Linked DNA regions of Neurospora crassa OR74A. The protein of the gene in region 2 interacts with the protein of the main gene of each other region in a biochemical or structural test. Links are inferred from orthologs where the notes say so. Each region holds a gene or a part of one and is shown on either strand. Other genes may lie near its edges.

What was found.
Region 1: of the proteins of NCU00019 (region 2) and stk-50, one has a biochemical effect on the other in vitro, tested with the Schizosaccharomyces pombe proteins (3 studies listed by BioGRID). The link is inferred for Neurospora crassa OR74A from reciprocal best matches to the Schizosaccharomyces pombe genes fkh2 and gad8.
Region 3: of the proteins of NCU00019 (region 2) and cdc28, one has a biochemical effect on the other in vitro, tested with the Schizosaccharomyces pombe proteins (2 studies listed by BioGRID). The link is inferred for Neurospora crassa OR74A from reciprocal best matches to the Schizosaccharomyces pombe genes fkh2 and cdc2.

What each region holds. Positions count from the first base shown.
Region 1 is NC_026504.1:4,535,001-4,541,120, forward strand, and holds stk-50 (serine/threonine-protein kinase gad8), read right to left. Parts: upstream 3,836-6,120; 5' UTR 3,178-3,835; coding exon 3,156-3,177; intron 3,078-3,155; coding exon 2,940-3,077; intron 2,877-2,939; coding exon 1,318-2,876; intron 1,250-1,317; coding exon 1,034-1,249; 3' UTR 616-1,033; downstream 1-615. Other genes in the region: NCU07279 (hypothetical protein), read right to left, coding at 5,529-6,023. UniProt on the Schizosaccharomyces pombe protein: Involved in a signaling module for sexual development and cell growth under stressed conditions. Required for G1 arrest under nitrogen starvation and for growth at high temperature and osmolarity.
Region 2 is NC_026503.1:2,311,714-2,317,833, forward strand, and holds the start of NCU00019 (FKH1), read right to left. Parts: upstream 3,933-6,120; 5' UTR 3,125-3,932; coding exon 3,008-3,124; intron 2,890-3,007; coding exon 1,879-2,889; intron 1,814-1,878; coding exon 981-1,813; intron 923-980; coding exon 817-922; 3' UTR 1-816. Other genes in the region: NCU00021 (hypothetical protein), read right to left, coding at 5,822-6,120. UniProt on the Schizosaccharomyces pombe protein: Required for promoter sequence element PCB-driven, M-phase-specific transcription. Acts as a transcriptional activator with a role in the regulation of mitosis. Binds, cooperatively with mcm1, the CLB cluster regulatory elements throughout the cell cycle.
Region 3 is NC_026506.1:1,087,706-1,094,032, forward strand, and holds cdc28 (cell division control protein 2), read right to left. Parts: upstream 3,836-6,327; 5' UTR 3,119-3,835; coding exon 3,082-3,118; intron 2,998-3,081; coding exon 2,313-2,997; intron 2,231-2,312; coding exon 1,966-2,230; 3' UTR 1,380-1,965; downstream 1-1,379. Other genes in the region: NCU09779 (oxidoreductase), read left to right, coding at 4,519-4,795, 4,855-5,654.

The DNA of each region.
Region 1 (6,120 bases), on a different chromosome or scaffold from region 2:
GGGGTTGATAAGGTGAGCTCGCGGTGCAAATGCGGGGCAATTGCGTAACCTGAATGTATAGCTTGGTACATGCACTGTACATCCGAGTGCCTGGCTAACGTACGGCAATGTTAGCCGGTCCGATACTTACCTTACATAGAGGTATGTAACAACATGATCGCCAACTTCAATCAACAACTACCATCAATAGTGTCCGCTTTCGCTATTTGTGAGCACTATGTATATGAAGTGATGTTCTGATATACCAGTCCCAGTGTCTTTGGTCTTGAGCGGGACACAATCGGTGAAACTTGGTCGCATATGATGTGAGACAGAGAGACCAGAAGTGAACAGGGGTTGGAAATGGCGGTAACTTTTTCGCAGTTCATCACATCTTCCAGTCTGGTAGCCCCGAGGTCACTCGCTCCCCGTTGATCGCCGGGATTCACGGGAGCTCAGAATGGCCATGCTTCTATACCGTTCCCAAGAGCCGTTCGTTACTAATCCGTTTTCTCCCCTGATCCATCTGCTTGCAAATGCTGCCAAAAGTTCCTCTGAAACAAAGCAAGAAAGATCCATACCTACAGCCTCTGATTGATCATAAGACCTGAGCAGCTTTGGGCTTAAGGACCTTGCACGACTACATTTATGTGACATTCCGGGTTGCTCGGCTGCCTAACCCTTTTCCACCTCATCTTGAGTTTGGTTTCCAAGCAAACGTCGGGCTGTGCCCCGTGTTTTGTAAAAAAAAAAATACTTGACATTGCTTATAAGTTTAACAATGAAACAAATCACTGCCCAACTCCTATGTGAAAATGTACCTAGGTAGCTCAAGTCACAAATATGGATAGACTAAACACAAGATAAAGAAAAAAAGACTTTGAAAGCCCATTGTCCAGCGACTGAGCACTTGGCTGTCACCTCTACGCTCAGTCTTACCCACCAATGGGTCAATCACAGCCGCGACACAACCGCTTAACTGAACCTGCCTCTATGCTGCATTTGCTATATTCCCGTTGCCCAAGCCAAAGTTTCTACCTCTCTTTTACTTTGTCTATCTCCTGCTGCTGTTGTCTTGAAGACTGCTCGCGAATGATGGGTCCTTAACACTGCCACCCGCATCCCCGAGACCAGCAATAGGACGGTTGTAACTGAAGCCCGTGAACTGGTTCTGCATCGTCTCTGACAGAATCGGTCCTTCCACGTAAGAATCCTGAGGAAGTTCCGATGTGAACTCAGGGTCGAAGTTGGCGGTGTCGAGCGCGTCAACCTATAGTCACCGTAGTTAGCACATTGAGCTTGTTCAACCGGTGAGTAGGCAGCGCTCTTGATACTTACCACATTGGGCTTGAACGCAGGCTCGTACTTGCGCTGCAACAACTTGCGCCAATCTATGGCGTGGAAGAAGGGGTGCGCCTTGATCTCGGCCGCCCCGTTGGCACCGAGACGTTGTTGCGGGTCGCGGTTGAGCAGCTTGGTCAAGAGGTCCTTGGCAGCTGGGGGTACAACCTCGGGTCCGGGGAAGTGCAGCGGTTCGCTGAGGATCTTGCGGTACATCTCGTTGGTGTTCTCATCGTAGAAAGGCGGGAGACCCGTCAACATCTCGTACAAAAGCACACCCAATGTCCACCAATCGACAGTCTTGTTGTAACCATTACCCATCAGCAATTCGGGCGCCAAATACTCAGGGGTGCCGCAAAATGTGTTGGTGCGGTCCTCATCCTTCATGTCCAGCTTGCAGAGACCGAAATCGCAGAGAGCGATGTGACCTTGGTAGTCGAGAAGAATGTTTTCCGGCTTGAGATCACGGTAAATGACGTTGAAACCGTGAAGGCATTCGAGCGCACACAGCAGTTCGGCCGTGTAGAAACGACTGCGGTTGACGTCGAATCGCTGCTCTTTCTGCAAATGATGGAACAGCTCACCACCATTGACAAAGGCGAGGACAAAGTATAGCTTCTCGGGACTCTGGAAGGTGAACTTGAGCGGCACGATAAACGGGTTGTTGATCTGGGCCAGAACGGATCGCTCAGCGAGCGTGTGGGCGACTTCGGAACGCGAGATGATGTGCGCCTTGCGAATCGTCTTGAGAGCGTAAATACGGTTCGTGTCCTTCTTGCGCACCTGCATGACCTTACCAAACGAGCCCTTGCCGACAACCTTGAGGAGCTCGAAATCCTCAATCTTGAGCTTACCGGCGCGGTTCTCCACATACTCGACGCCGATCTTGAGCTTTCCGGTACCATACTGAACGTCGACCCACTCCACACCGCTGTGTCCGAGGGCGCGCTCCTTGTTGGCAAAGTCGGCGGCGGCCTTTTCCCGGTCCTTCTTGCTGGCCTTGGGGTCATCGACGAACTGCTGCTTCTCCTCGAATCTGGGGTTAATACGGACAACACCAAGGAAGATGTCTTGGCTGCGGCCGGAGCCAGGCGCCGCGTTGGGGTTCCTGATGTAAAGATGTACGGCAAGCTCCGTAACTCGAGACACATCGAACTTGTACTGAGTGTTGGAGCCGGCCCAGAGGGGGTTTTCGGGGTTGCCTTCGACCGAGTTGACAAAAACTTGAACCTTGTCAAAATCTATGAGGGCATAGGGCATATACTTTGTGGAGATACGGCCGTGATTTGTAGGAATGGCGCCAAAGCCGCCCGAGCTCTGTGGGCGCGAAGAACCGCTCAGGAAGTTGGCTGTTCGTGACGAGTTGTTGGTGCGAATGGAGCCTGCAACGTTAAGGGCACTTCCCGTCGACATCGAGTTACCGCCATGGTTTGAGGAAAAGACATTGCGATACTGTTCGGGTAGCGAGAAGCCGGAACCCTCGTGGAGGGTGACGACGAGGATACCGGGCTTAGGAGGCTTGACGATGGGAGCTTGCGTAAGGGCTTCCGAGGCGGCTGTGAAAGGAAAAGAGGTTAATCTTGTGATGGCCGAGTGAACAAGACGGGCTGAGCGCCTACCAATGGTGTTCTCGTTCGAAGGGGTGGCTGCTCCCGAGCTGCCCGCTTGGCTCTTGTCTTCCTTATCTGTGATGGTGGAGGTAGAGGGCGAGCGGGAGAAGGGGCTTGAAAGAGGACCCAAATGGGTCTCCTTCAGCTCTGGTGTGCCAACATGTCAGATATGGTGTTCTGCCGTGGGGAAAGGGAAAGGGAAAAGGCGCGGGTTCGCCGACATACTCTTTGTGAGTTTCCACGACATTTTGCTGTCTGGCAGAAACCTAAAAGGGGAATGGACGTAGGTAGGGTGGACCAGCCGTAGGATACGAAAGGACTGAGGTTGGACGCCAATAGGAGGTTTGACGGATAGGAGAAGATCTAGGATAAAAGCGACGAAATACGAAGCGACGAGGCTAGGAAGAGAGTAGTAGGTATGACAGGTAGGCTGGGTGACGTGACAGCGGGCGGCTTCGATGTCGGCGTCGGCGTCGAGGTTGGTGTCGGTGTCGATACCTCCGAGGGGGTCGGTGTCAACAGAAGAAGTGGACTGTAAGGGCGAGAAGGCGCCAGGAGAAAAGGAGGCCTGGCTGTCCGGAAATCCAAGACTCTAATCGACCGAGGGCGACAGACTAGGAGGCAACTACTGTTTGGCGCAGCAGCAAGGTGGTGTGAACAAGACTCGTGTTTAGAGTTGGATGGATGGATGTTGCAAGTAAGTCGGGTCTAGGTAGAGGGGGGTTGTGTTGTAGAGGTACAACGAACAAGACGACGGGACGGAGGGAACCTCGACACAAAGCGGAAGGCGGACAGCGAGATGCCACTGCGGTGATGACGGGAGGATCGATAGAATCCCAAGGTGTCGGGCGGGAGTCGGGGGGGTGTTCGCCTGGCGGGCGGGAGTGCGTGCTGCTGCTGTCCAGGTAGGGGCCAGGTGGTGCAGTGGGTGGTGAGGTGGGCTGTGTGGGCGTGGTGCCCCTGGACGCGGTTGACAGCGGCGGGAGCGCAGCAGGATGGAAATGGAATGCCTGGTGTGTTCAGCCGGCGGGATCCTTGTTAGTGGCTGATGCGGGACCCAGAGGTGGAGGAGATAATCTGGTCCCGTCTCCTGCAGGTGGTCAGGTCGCTGGGCCTGTCTTGCCCTGCCGCGGGCCCCGCTCTCTCTCCTTTTTGGACCCATTGATTCGCGGCAGGCCTGTTAGGCCAGGGGGTCAGCTGGGGGGGGGGCTATCGCTAACAAAACCGAACATAAGCACTGCCCTGGTGGATGGAAAAGACGGGAAGTCGGGTGCTGCTGACAAGTGGAAAGTGGGGTACTAATTGCCCGCCGGGGTCCAGTTTCTGCTTGGCTGTCCGCAGTTTCGCAAGTCAGTCAAATCTCTCCCAAGATCGAATCACCGTCACAGACACTCTGCCATTGAGACGATCACAACAAGCCGACAAGATGAGGGAATGGAGAGACCTCCAAAATCCAATATGCGCTAACAGCCCGACTTGTCAGATGCGGCCCGATGCCCAGGGAACAAACCTGACGGGTTCTGTGCTTCAGAGCCATGCCAGCCATGCGTCTTTCTGGTCGTGTTTGAGGCTGATGGAACAAGCGGCGACAAAATGCCACTAAAAACTGGACAACCTCTCTTCCACAGCACTTTGATTGTCACCACGTTGCTAATTTTGGGTTCCAATTTTCTTGGGCTCATCGGCCGCAATCACCGTTTACGACACCCGCAAGATTGCCCGACGAACTTGCAGTATAAATCTGTCGACAGGATCTCCGCTTCATCTACATACACGCAGACACACGCTGTAGCAAGGGTACAAGTCAGACCCACGAGGCCGAGTCCCTGGACACGCCCTGGGGGGCCAACCTGGAACGTCTGGTCGATCGACACCAAGTCGACGTTTCACCTTGTTATAGCAAGCCAGAGCTATCCTGCTACAACTGATCTCGGAGACTTTCCATATCCAAAGAGGACGTGATTGATAATGATGGGCAAGATAAAACAAGACTTGGTGGCTACGACATTGGCGGTGCCAGGGTGCGTCTAACCAAAACCTGAGACATCTCTTGCCAGCTCTTGATCGGTTTCATATGCGGACTGCGGAGAGCCACCAAAGAGGGGCAGAGGGGCAAAAAATAACGAAGAAAGATCCCCCTACCAAAACAACAGGGGAAGTTCAGGGAATTGTCAGGTTGTTCCTCGACCTCTCCATGATAGCTAGGATCTGTCACGTGGTCATCAGCCAGGAGGACCCGGCTACTTGACTAGGCTTCTAGGGTCGTTGTTGCTCGGCCATCGATGCCGAGGATTGATTCGATTTCTATCTCTTTTTCAGCCTGGAGCACCCAAAAATAACGGTTCTCGATTGAGGATGGCAATTCAAGCTGACATTGCTTTCCACTCCTCCAATTCTCCAAACCCTCGAGTTCTGAAAGACATTGCAGTACTTGGGAAAACCAAATCCCGATGATGGGTTGGTCACGAAGTCGGTGTGTTCTACCCGTACATCAAAAACACTCGTCCTTCGCAACTGTTCGTTCGCCATATACTGCCGTTGAGTTTCCATCTCAAGTCATTTGTCATCTTTGATTGCCAGCAAAATGCTTCACCCCCTTTATTTACCGATCTTCACTTCACCCTTCCTCGTTCCGGCCGTACTCTGAAGCAAAACCAAAACCCTGATCACTGCCAAAGGCACAGTTGCCCAAAATAAGGTCCAGTCTGAGGTTTCCCATTCTCCAACTTTGATCCACTGACTCCATCCGCCTACCCCTTGTATCACGGACCAGCTATACCCAGCATCACTGAGGAGCATGCCGACACAGAGCAGCTGCCATAGACGCAGATCATCATACAGCCGAAGGATGACGGCTTGGATGAAGGCAAAGTACAGCCATCCACTCCCAATCTGCGTGTAGAGATATTGCGAGGGGGCATCGTAGGGCACAGATGCGCGCGTCATCATGGCCGCGTATTTCGCTGGCTGAAAGAAGACCATGAAAGCGCCGTTGATTGCGAAGAGGGGTTCGATATAGAGCAAGATGATTCGATAGAGAAACGGGATGGTAGCCGTAGCAGAGGCGGTGGGAGTCGGAGATGTTGGCGCCATGATGTTGTTGTTTGGAGAGACACCGGTGTAGTACGTATGTTTGTTTGAGGATAGTTCTTGGTTCAAGTGGCTGGGTTGAAGCAGAACCAAAATTGAA
Region 2 (6,120 bases):
TATGTGTGTCTATACATCCATCCTCTTGGTTTCTGATCTGTCCAAACACATCTGCCTGGCCTCCCTGATATGCACCCGCATTCACAGTATTGGAAAAGAACAACCGGGACGCAGGAAACACAAAGACCCTGGACACAAACGAAGAACAAAATAGAACGCATTTTGGGATATCGATATGAAAACCAACTAGACCGCCGACAGAAACACCGTTGGGTAGCTAGCAGCGATGCCGAAAAAAAAGATAATGACCCCAGTGCAGAACGATCTTGAACTGACGTGACCTGACCCAACCCAACCCAATTTGATGGAAAAGATGTGAAATGCAACATTGTGACTCGATGTTTCCCAACTTTCGGCCATCCAGTCCTCCTTTACTCCCATTTGTGTTTTGTTCCTGCTGCACTCAAACCATTGCCCGCATTCAGAACCAGTGAAATAATACAACTTAGACGTAAGAAGCAGAACAAGAATGACAAAAAAAGAGAATCATTTGCCCCGAAAGCAGGAAGCTATTAGGCTTTCCTGGAAATTGAGATGATCCAGTCCAACCATCCCTTGTGGTATCACACAAGACACGAACTAAGGAATTAATACCACGTAACGAATAGCCTTGGGGGGGGGAAAGGAAAAAAAAAACTTGAATTAATGATGATAAATTCATAAAGCAAACGACAAGAAAGAATTGAAGAGAAGGATGATGATGCAAAATGTGTGAATAGAAGAAGCCCACTCAAATGATGCGTAAATGGCCCTAGCCGCGTTCTTGTATATATCGCGACATCGGTATTGTAGTTGCCCTCTCGACTCCATGCCCTTTTAAGAGCTCAGTGGCGCCATAGAGGGCACATCGCCATTTCCAGCCGGCTGAACCTCCTTGCCACGACTGACAGGAGCATGATAACTACCGATGCTTTGAAATCCCCTAAAACGTAAAGATTTAGTATACATGGCGAACCACTAGAGTCGAGAGTTGCACTTACTTTGTAAGATCGAAAGCCCGGTCCTCCTCTTCCTCGGCAGGGCTCGGGGATTCTTCTACGCCGACCGTGGCGCCCCGGCTGGTTGTTCTCGACGGACTTGCACTCCCGGCAGGCGACTTACTCCGCGCCGGTGGTGGGGGGCTGCTGCTCTGCGATGGCAGGTTCCCGTGTGTTTTGGAGGGGCTGGCGTCGTACTGAGCAGGCTTTAGCGGCGTACTTGAAATATCGGCATATCTCCAGAACGGGGCGGGTGAGCTAGTCGGCATGTGTTGACTAGGCCGTTGGGCCGTGCTGGGGGGTACAAGCCGGGGATTAACTCGGTTTGGAGCCGGCGTAACGAGAGACGCACCGTCTTCCTGCAGGTACGACGGTCCCAACGTCGGCGATGCAGGCGTATCCTCCACTATCCCCAATGTACTCATTGTCGCAGGCTTCCGGATCGTCGACAGCGGGCTAGCCTCCGTGCCATCCTCTGCTTTGTCAGGGAGAGGTTTGCGCTGGGCGGCGCGCACAGGCGTTGATTGCGAGTCGCGCAGTGTTGGGTGCGGTTGTGGCTGTGGCGAGTCAGAAGGCGAAATCTTCCGCTTACGAGACGACGCAGGCTCCTTAGCGGCCATGTCCTTCGGACCCTGCGTGATGTAATTCAGCCCGCTAGGAGAAGCTGGGTTAGAGGTGCCTCTATGTCCACCACGACCGCCTCGGTACGCATTGCGTATCATATCTTCACGGGCGTCGGCAACAATCTGCCACTTCATGCCTTTGCCAGGCTCGTCTGTCGACCTTGCGACCTTCTCGAATGACTTGTTCAACGAAAGATTGTGTCGAATCGAGTTCTGGAGTAACATATATGTCAGCTATCCAAGTACGCGAGGGTACAGCAACCGCTGGAGAAACATACCTGCCAGCCACCAGCGGGTTGATGCCTATAGTATGAGTAGCGGTTCATGATGAACTGATAGATGCCGGAGAGATTGAGCTTCTGGTCTTCCGTGTTCACGATCGCCTGCGTGATCATTTGTGCATAGCTGAACTGTGGCTTGATGTGTTGGTTTTCGTCGAGACTAAGATCTACCTCGTTGTTGGTCATGACAAGCGGACCTGCCAGACCTTCGTGAACCGGCCTGTGCATCGGCGGTCGGGGAAGGTTAAGGGGAGGAGTGACGCCTCTCCTGTAGTCTGGAGGAGCTGGAGCCAATGCCTTCTGCGGTCCTTGGTTTCGGGGGGCGGCCTTGCTAGTCGGAGACACGGCCTGAAAAGCATGCGATTCTCCTGCTGAGGGAAGGGGATGGCGAGCTTGGCGAGGAGAAACCTGCGAGTCTGGGGGAACGATGCCGGCTCGCTCGAGATAGTCCCTTTTGATTTGAAGAGCACTAATATCGGCAGGCAGAACAAACATCATCTCCATACCGCCAATCTCGATGACCTCGCCACTTCTCAGAGGCCCCTCGTCGCCCACTTTCCACGGGACACCATCAACCTTGAGCGCATTGCGGCCCTTGACGCGCAACCACCACTGCTCCTCTGTGGACTTGAAGTAGATAAGAGCATGCTGGCGAGAAACCTGCTTGTTGGGGCCAAGGTCGATGTGTACCACTTTGCTGGGGTCTTCCTCCTGGCTCTGGCCGGTGGTAGCTTGTATAGGTTCGGAGGAGCGACCGATATTGACATTGAGGCTCATGATGTAGTAGGTCCAGTCATTGGCCGCGATTTTAGCAAAGGCCTGAACGCCCTGGCTCGACTCGTGGATGCTGTTGGAGTGGTCCTTGCTAGCCTGAACATTCTTGGGCATCTCAAGATACTGTATGACGCGTGCCACCACCTGGTCATCGTCGTTCATGTCTAGAGCTGACTGGTCGGCAACTAATGACGAGTCGGCCTCGTCGGCGAGATCGGTCGGCGCATCGTCGTCCTGCAGCGAAGACAAAAAGTGCGTGGTTAGTGGGGGTCAGGCAGCCTATGGGGTAGTCAAAGAAAAGTAACAAAGCGTGGCAAAGGAGAGCGATGTGCGGGAGCAGGGTGCGCCTTACCTTCTTGCGACGCTTCGAGGGCCGTGAGGGCGACGAGTCTCCAGTAACTGGATCGCTGAGATTGTGCTGGTCGGCAGTGTTGAAGCTCGCGGTATGCTTCGGTGGTGAAGGCGACATTGTGTGCGTGGGCGAAAGCGCTAGCACATGCGCTTGAGGTAGAGAGGTCTGATGGAGCTCGGGGATCGGAGGGGTTGAGGAGGTCGTAAGTAAACAGAGAGGTCAGGGGCCCGGGTGGTGGAAGTGGGTAGACATCTACCGAGACCAATGTTTGGGTGGTGTAGCGGAGGGCGACTTTGGCAGACGTAATCAAGATTGCCAGATCAGAGGGCGGCGCAGGTGCCGGATTCGTGTGCGTGCGGTTGCGGGCGAGGAAGGTCGTGAAGTGTGGACGAAGATCAATTGCGACAAATTTATTGAACTTCAAAGTTCCATCGATTAGTTGGAACCGGTTCCCCAGTCCCCTGCGTTGATGGCAGATGCTGCAAGGGGCCGCCAAGCCTTGGACCTTCCAATTACCAATGTCTGCAGGCCGGGGCAGTCAGACAACGTCAACAAGTTGGTTGAAGACAATGGAAGGGGGCCTCGGGGTGGTCAAAGGGCGCTGTGAGACTGATGGATAGCAGCGCGGCGATATTGGGACACTTTCTTTCTTTCCTTCTTTGAAGCTTCAACTTTTGGCTGGATGCGTGAGCTCCTCGGTCGTGGGGGGGTAAGAAGAAAGAAAATCAGTTTTTCTCGGATTCAAGGTAATCAAGATTGGACACTGTACAACTCGAGAGCAGAGAGGTTGCAGTGGTCGAATGCGGCCCTGGGTTTCGGGGTAGTATGGTAGATAGCTGCTGTAGTAGGCAGGAGGTTTTTTGTATTTGAAGACACCACGCACAGCAAAAAGGTGAGAATGATTTGTTTAATTGACCCGGCGACGCTTTCTCCAAATCCCAGGTTTTTCGCGTGCGCAACTGGAAGGCATGCGCAGAATGCGGATTGAAGCAGGCACAGGCCAGTCACTGGCCAATGACTGCGTCAGATTACTGGGATTTTAGCGGGGCAGAGGTGGAGCATTCACGTGTTCAAGCTTCCGTCCACTCTGTTCGTCATCACTCCTTTCAAGGTAAGTAGGTATGTAACTGAAGTAACGCAACGCAACCTAACGCCGTTCGGTGCAGTGTGGTCAACAACGGACACTCCTTCGATTAAGTCCCGCATGCACCCCCCCCCCCCCCACATCCCCAACTGTAATTTATGTTGCAACAACAAAGTTGAAAAAGCAAACCAAAATGTTGCTCCAAGATTGACATCAAATGTATTGCCAATATCCGATGTCCGATGAAATATGCAAGATGCAAGCAAAGCCCCATGCCATTTTCAGACACCGCAAACAAAGCAATCACCACGCATCCTTCGGTCGCTTGTCGAAGGTTTGTTTACATCAATCAGGGGGGTGACGAATGAAGCAATCATGGATCTTCTTCTCTCTTGGCCGGGGTGGGGGTTTGGGGGGGTTAAGTACTGTACACTTGGCATCGAAGAAGCACCGTTTGAGAGTTGTCTTTTCCACACCGTGACTCTTTCGTCCGTCCAGTCCTGTCTCCTTCCGCAGCACTCCAATGGGCAACTACACTACATACACTACTAGGAAGTCAATTTAGCAGACGGGAATGGATGGCAGATGCCCGGCTGGGGCAGTCTGGGGGCAGAAGCGGGTACCTCAGCAGCTCCAAGCCTCGATCAGATTTAGGCGTGCCCCCTGCTGTTAGGGGGTTGGCGGGGTTTGCTAGGATGGGAATTTCAAGGTTGGGGCTTTTGGTGACAATTTGGAGAAATTTCCATAACCCGAATTACACATTTCGCACAATCATCGCCTTCGTCGCCTTGGGCTCTGAAGAAGAAAGAGATATCAATTTTATATGGCAGGTGCTTTCGAGCTCGTCTTCGTTATACCGCTGAAATGGCAATCCGGCACTGCACCCGAAAGTAGTATCCATAGCAGTGTCGAGAACGACAGAAAAAGGGGGAAGCGGACGTATCATTATACACACTGTGCAAGTAAACAAACTTCCCATGCTCCTTTTTCTACTTTCCCTTCTCACGTATCGTCTTGGATCATCATGTTGGCCCCTGATCTCCAGCGCATGCTGCCGCCAGCTGTTTGACCCTCTTTAGTCACTTGGTGTACTGTTTGCTGTATCCTGCGAACGCTTCCTCTGAAGCAAGTTCATCAACCAGCCCTTCCCAACTAACACAACCCCGAGCCATGAGGCAGAAGTTGAAAGGTGGGTGCATTTTGTTCAAGCCAACGGAGCCGTTCTATATACAAAGGTTCCGTGAACGCACTCAAAATTAGATGCTCGCTCATCCCATCATGAAAAGAAAAACATAAGAAACTCTAAGAAAAAAGAAAAAAAAGTGGGGTGTGTCTGTATGCTTCGTTGCCTCCTCTTCTTGACCGCTTTATAAATGCTTCTAACGTACTGCCTTTCCCTTTTATTTTCCCGTTTCTGAAACATTGCTCTCCATATACAAGGATATCTCCATGACTTGTTGAGTCTTTTCCACGTGGCCGCCCTTATCATGTGTTAATACAAGTATATACAGAGTGCTTTTTAAAAAGACGCCAACCAGCCAAGAGAATTCCAAAATAATTCCCCACAAGCCCAGGAACGCCAGCCATATCCGGTGCCTAACTTTTCTTCGATGATGATGATGATGGATAACAATGGATGATCATATACATCAAGTAACAGTTCAGTCAAAGAGCAATGACGTGGCAGTCATGGTACCATCGATCACAGAAACATGACAGGGTCAACACGTTTAGGCCTTGCCGCCACGCTTCTTAGGGTTGCTGGGTCCCTTGGACTTCTTACCGCCCTTCTTCTTCTCGCTGTTCTCAACAAACTTGACCAGCTCATCGATATTGCGGTTGTCAACGCCGACAGCGCTGGGCACAACACTTCCGATACCAGCCGCGCCAGCGGTGGCGTTGCGAGGGCTAAAGCCGAGACTACCCTTCGCGCGGCGAGCCTGGAGCTCCTTGGTGGCTTTGGCGACCGACACGGCATTGTGAGTGAGCTGAGTAAGCCAGTGCTCGGCCTCCTTGGTGTTCTTGTCCT
Region 3 (6,327 bases), on a different chromosome or scaffold from region 2:
TAATAGTAGTCTTTTTAATAATAATTTTAATAAAAATAATCTTCTTTTTAAGTAGAATAGTTTTAGGGATAATTTTAGTAGACTACTCAGCTTTACAGCTCTTCTTTCTAGAGCGGAATAAGGCGTATTATAGAATTATTAAGTTAGGATCTTCCTAATCTTAATCCTTATTGAAGTAGATTACTAGCGCGCTACTTCGAATACGGAATCGCTTTACGCTGGCGGGTTTTAAATTGAGGATTGTTTTGGGAGGCATTGTTGCGATGGATTTGATTGATTACTAGTATTGTAATTACTTTATACGTTGAAATAGCTTCAAATTGATGTAGAAATTGTTGTGAAATGATGAATTTTGACGAAGTTGTACAATACAGAAGTGCGGTGTGTGTGTGTGTGTGCACGCACACACACCTCTTGCCAAGACTGCACAGGCGATTGAGTGTGGGAAAGACAGACTCTTCTTGCTTGTGGGTGATATAATCTGTTATTTTCTGAATTTGAACCAAATCGTTAGAACTGAAACACCCCGCTTCGCTAATAACCACTCATACCACTCACTCACTGCCCATATTCACACACACCACACCAGCCTTACGGTGAACCACCACATCCGCTGGGAGCCCGAACGTCTTTCCACTATTTTCGAGGGATAATGAGCGTGGTGTCGTACCAAGGCACACTGAAATACACAGTCCTGTGTATTATTCAGTTACTTCCCAATTGACCAATTGCCTACTACCTTTCGTTGATCATGCACGATATCGTCGAACGAATCCGTCCTCCGCTGTCAGCCTTCTCCAAGCCAAATATGTAAGTACTTTTAAGGTACGATAGCAGATGTCGGTCCGGATTGGCGAGATAAAGCTCCTGTTACCGGTTTGTGTTGAAAATACAGACCGTTAAACAGGCAAAAAAAAGGTACGGCCCCGATGGAGTGTCTGGACGCCACACCACGCAACACCACGGTTGAGATACTGGGACTAGGAAGAGCTTCAGTGAGTGTATTGCAGGTATATAGCCTCCCTATGACGCCTGATCTGTCTTGTTGAGTGGTTCCCAATCCACTGACGTGATGCTCTTTTGATAGCTGAAATGTTGGGAGCCAACCGCTTGGTACAGGCTTGAGTGAGCTAGGCTTTTCTGAAAGCATTCTTCATTAGCGCTGTCAGCATGACGATGTCTGCAGTCCCATGTGCTGAGGTACCATTTGCTCAGTCTGATAAAAGCGAATGCCTACAATGTTGGGGGACATGTAATGCGGTGGTGTGAGCGCTTGTCGGAAAGAAAGACAGCCAAGAAGGCAACATGAGAAATCGATCAATGGCAACATAAATCCGAGCAGGGAGAAAGAAATGGAGCACATCAAAGATGAAGGAACAGCCGACATCACTTCGCATCTCCAAACGAAGGACCTGTGTTTGGACAGGGGAAAGTATGTACATGCGAGATTTATTGGAACAATGTCTTGCGCCTTTTCCCTGCCTGTGTACAGTACACTTCACACCACAACTCCCTAATATGCACCAGGGCTAACAGAAAGCCCCATCCCTTGAATGCCATTTGCTCTTCCAGATAACACCGAATCGTGTAATACAGAACTCCATTCCAATGTACTTCCTTTACCCATGACCCCTTTGAACGCTGTTCCCTAAAAACACAACCCTACATACAACAAAATGTAGGTATGGGGAATTTGATGTGTCGAATATCATGTTTCCGAGTATCCTGAAAGCAAAGTGGGATGCTATGATATGCTTCAGGTGTGATAATGACAGTTTGTTTCTGTCACCGTTTCGGTGTGTCGACCTCACTCGCTACTGGTAGAATCACAAAGACTGTACCCTTGCCACGAACTGCCCACTTTGAAGTCACCGAGATCCAACCGAACCTAAGCAGCCGGCTGCAAAACTTGGATAGTCGATCTGCTATTGCCTAACGCTCCTGCTTCGACCTTGGCGAACGTCCCTAGGCGTATCTGCTGCTGTCGCGGTATTTGCTCTTTGGCTTGGGGTTGTAGTCTTCAAAGTAAGGGTGATTGCACGCTGCCTTGGCAGAGATTCGGCCAGCAGGGTCGTAGACAAGCATGGATTCAAGTAGCTCAAGACCGACATCGTCGAGGTTTTGGCAAAGTGGTACGTTGTAGTCGCGTACCCACTTGGGGAAAGATGCCTTGAAGTCGGGATAGGAGGTGACGCCGGGCCAGATGTCCTCAGTAGGGGTTCCAAGCAGACTGTTTGGAGGAAAAGAGGTCAGTATAGCGGACTAGGGGAGAAGCAGAAAGGTGCCAAGAAAAGGTAACTGCATAAACGTACCGGAAGATCTTGAAGATCTCGTCAATTTCCGAATCACCAGGGAACAAGGGCTTGCGTGTGCACATTTCGGCAAAGATGCAACCAACGGACCACATATCGACACCGGTCGAGTACTGACGACCACCCAGCAGGATTTCGGGCGCACGGTACCACAATGTGACGACCTCGTGGGTATAAGTACGGAGTGGAACACCAAAGGCGCGGGCGAGACCGAAATCTGCTAGCTTCAAGTTGCCGTCGCGGTCGATGAGCAGGTTCTGGGGCTTGAGATCGCGGTGTAGGACACGGTGGCTGTGGCAGTATCGGACGCCCTCGCAAAGCTGGCTCATGAACTTCTTGATGATATCCTCGCCCAGTCCCAAATTGTGCAGTCCGGCGCCCGTTCCTTCGGGGAGGGCCTTGCCCCTACCACCGTCGCTGACAGGAAGGGCCTCCATGTACTTCTTCAGATCAAGATCGAGGAATTCGAAGACAAGATACAGCTTATGGCCTTGACCGCCGTCGGCGTGGACAATGTTGAGGAGACGCACAATGTTGGGGTCGCGCATCTCCTTGAGCAGCGAGATCTCACGGATGGCGGTAGAGGGGACGCCCTCATCTTCGGCTTCGAGGCGGATCTTCTTGAGGGCGACAATGCGCCCGCTGTTAGCCAAGTCGCGGGCCTTGTAGACGACACCATACGTTCCTATGCGGAAGGTGGAATGTCAGTACGGGACATGGAAGGAAGAGAGCCAAGGTGGAGGGGTCGAAGAAGAAGGGGGTGTTGTACCCTCGCCAATCTTTTCCAGCTTCTGATAGTTCTCCATGGTTGCTCTGTTACCCGTCCAGGCCGCTATACTGAGATGGGTGGTTTGAAAGTCCCTGGAGGGAAAGAATTGACTTTGCCCGGAGTCGTAGAACTACTAGTTGGGGTTGGTGCCTGGTGTTCGTGGTCGTCGTGGTGGGGGACGATTACGACGAACGATGTTGTACCTAGCGCGCTGAAGCACAGTGATTGATGGAAAAGCCCAGAACGAAGCGTGGGGCGGCGGCGGCGGCGGCGGCGGATGGAGAAAGTGACGGCCGTCGAAGGGTCGCCTTCTTGAGATTGATTGATCCTTGGAGAGTCAAGGTCCAGCCAAGGATAGGTGGTGTCCAAAGGGAGCGCAGTGGCGGATTGGTAAACAAAAACGAAAAAAGGTGGAATCGTCCGTCGTTGCCGTCAAAAGGCTACAGTACTAGCTACCGTAAATACTTTGTTTTGGTGTTGACTTTTGGTGGTGATGATGGTGCCGTGAATGGTCGACGGGTCGTCCTGGGCGGAGGGCTGAATGCGAAAGGCCGCTGATGAAAAGGCAATATGATGCAGCGAGCGATGTAATTGTCGTCCGTTGTTCCTGCAACTTCTTGATACTAAGGGACCGTGATGGTGAAGGGACAGAAATCCAAGGAAGGAGAGGCGGTGGACGTGCAAGTGGAAGTTGAGGTTGTGAAGTTGTGGTTGTCGTTCGAGTGTCGGATTTAGAGGGCAGTCCAGGGGGGTGGTCCGCTGTACTGTAGTGCAGTAGGTAGGTTTTATTCCAGACGGGCATCCGAGTGCAGGTGGTTGGAGACGGGACGATTACGTCTTAGACTTGGCGCTTGCAACGGAAATCCGTGTCAACACAAAAAGCGCGGACCGCGACGGCACCATGGAAACCACTCACTGGAGGGACGGACTGCAAGGGAGGAATGAACGCGTCCAAAAAATGCCCGCTTTCCTCGTCGGTAGGTACTCCGAGTTCAAGGTAGGTAGGTAAACTTTCAAGCAATCTAGGTACATATGTACCACCTCTACCTAGTTCTAGTAAGTACTACTACTTGGAGCATTGACTGTACCCGACAGCCCACCAAGATGGGGCAGAATACGTAGGTACCTTCTAGGTAGCCACGATCTCTAACTGTTGACTACCCCTGACTTGTGGCGCCATTCAGAAGCTCCAGCCATTCAGACGCCCAGCCCAGCCTCAGCTCGACGCCCACACATCAATCCATCTCGACCATCCGTCCCGTCTGAAGCTTCACTCGAGTCCCCACAATTTCATCTCACGATACTTCCCTACTCCAAATCCGCAACGTCACACGAGGACTCGGAAGGAGTCAACTTGTATACTCATATCCATTTCTTCGGTCACTTTTCTGTTCTCTTTTTGGATATCTCGCTCAAAAGAACTACCCGACTTTCAAGATGATGGGTGGACACCATGACCTGGATGCGCACGAGCAGCCGTCGGATGAGCTGCGGCTCAAGTGGAAGTCGTTCGCCAAAGTCGACCAGAAAATCGTCATGAACAGCCCCGAGATCGATGACTTGCGCAGTCCCGAAAAAGCCCCCGAGTTTGTGCTCGCTGGCTCCATTCCTACCGAGACTTTGAACAGGTCCTTCAGCTATATCTGCCCCGAAGACTCACCAGAGTTCCGCACAGACAAGGACGCCCCCATCTATTACCATCCTCTCTTGCCTGGTGAACTCAAGATCCTGGACCCCTCTTCCTCACGAATCATTGCTGACCAACCCCAAAAGGTCTCTTGATTCTCCCAAACCTCATTCCCCCCGAGGTCCAAAAGACGCTACTGCGCAACATCATTCACCGCGATCTCAACCAACCCCATCACCAGACCAACATGCATCTCCATTTCAAGCTCCCCTACCCGCCCGTGGATCCCGAAACAGGCCTTCAGGAATCCTTCTTCTCCTACCCTCCAGATTCCGAGACGTGTTTTGAGCCAAAGGACCCTTCTGTACACAAGCCTCTCACTTTTCAACAAGTCTTCAACCGCAAGCTACACTGGGTCACCCTAGGTGGACAGTATGACTGGACGAATCGCGTTTACCCGGGCGAGCTGCCCCCCGAGTTTCCCAAAGACATTGCCGGCCTTTTGGAGACCCTGTTTCCCGAGACTCAGGCCCAAGCGGCCATTGTCAATTTCTACACCCCCGGCGATACCATGATGATGCACCGCGATGTGTCAGAAGAGACCGACAAAGGCCTGGTCAGCTTGAGTATAGGCTGTGATTCGCTCTTCATGATTTGTCCCGAGGACTGGGGCAAGGTGTCGGAAGACGAAAAGCAAAAGGGATCCGCAGAAAATGAAAGTGGCAAGAGCGACAAGAAGTTCTTGCTGCTAAGGCTACGGTCTGGCGATATCATTTACATGACTAAGGAGTCCAGGTTTGCCTGGCATGGTGTACCCAAAATCTTCAAGGGCACCTGTCCCGAGTGGCTGGAGGATTGGCCCGCCGAAGATGGAAAGTATGAGGCTTGGAGGGGCTGGATGAAGAACAAGCGCATCAATATTAATGTTAGGCAGATGAGGGACTGAGCCGAAGAACGCCACTATCTTCAACCACATGTTCAGTCAACAGAATGCCAAGTGGACAAAGGCCGTCATAAAGCCATGGCCGTCACCATCCCACTTTTGAACTGTCTATGTCTCGTTTTCCAGGACACTTTGTTTCCCCTTTTACCACTCGCCATTAGAGTTTTCCTGAGACCAAGTTTACTGCCCATACCTTGAAACCATGAAATGACAAGCGTCCATGACTAGAGGTTGTGTGTGCTCGCTTATCACATTTGTCCACTTATGTAATCTTTCATCATCACAAACATATCAACATGTCACGCGGCAGAGATCTGGGGATTTCCCCATTATCAAGGTTGATTCTGGTTTTGCTATGAGGTAAAAACGAGCTGAATCACAACATGCTCGATGAAGCGGCGGACGCAAAGCGTACTCAGCGGACATAAGGGCTTGGGCGATGGATTGGATCATCATCCTTGATATTCATGACGAACTCATTTTAGACAGCAACACCGTTTATCAAGTGATACGATAGGGTGACTGTCGCTTTAGCACTATCATATATCATTGTACCTGAGTCGTTCTGTCTCAGGAACTACGGTCGTTTCATTTGCTACTTAGTTAGTTGAAATGGTAAGCATCATATCTAGGCCTGGAAATATACCATATCTTCATTTCACATCAAGTTGGCCAA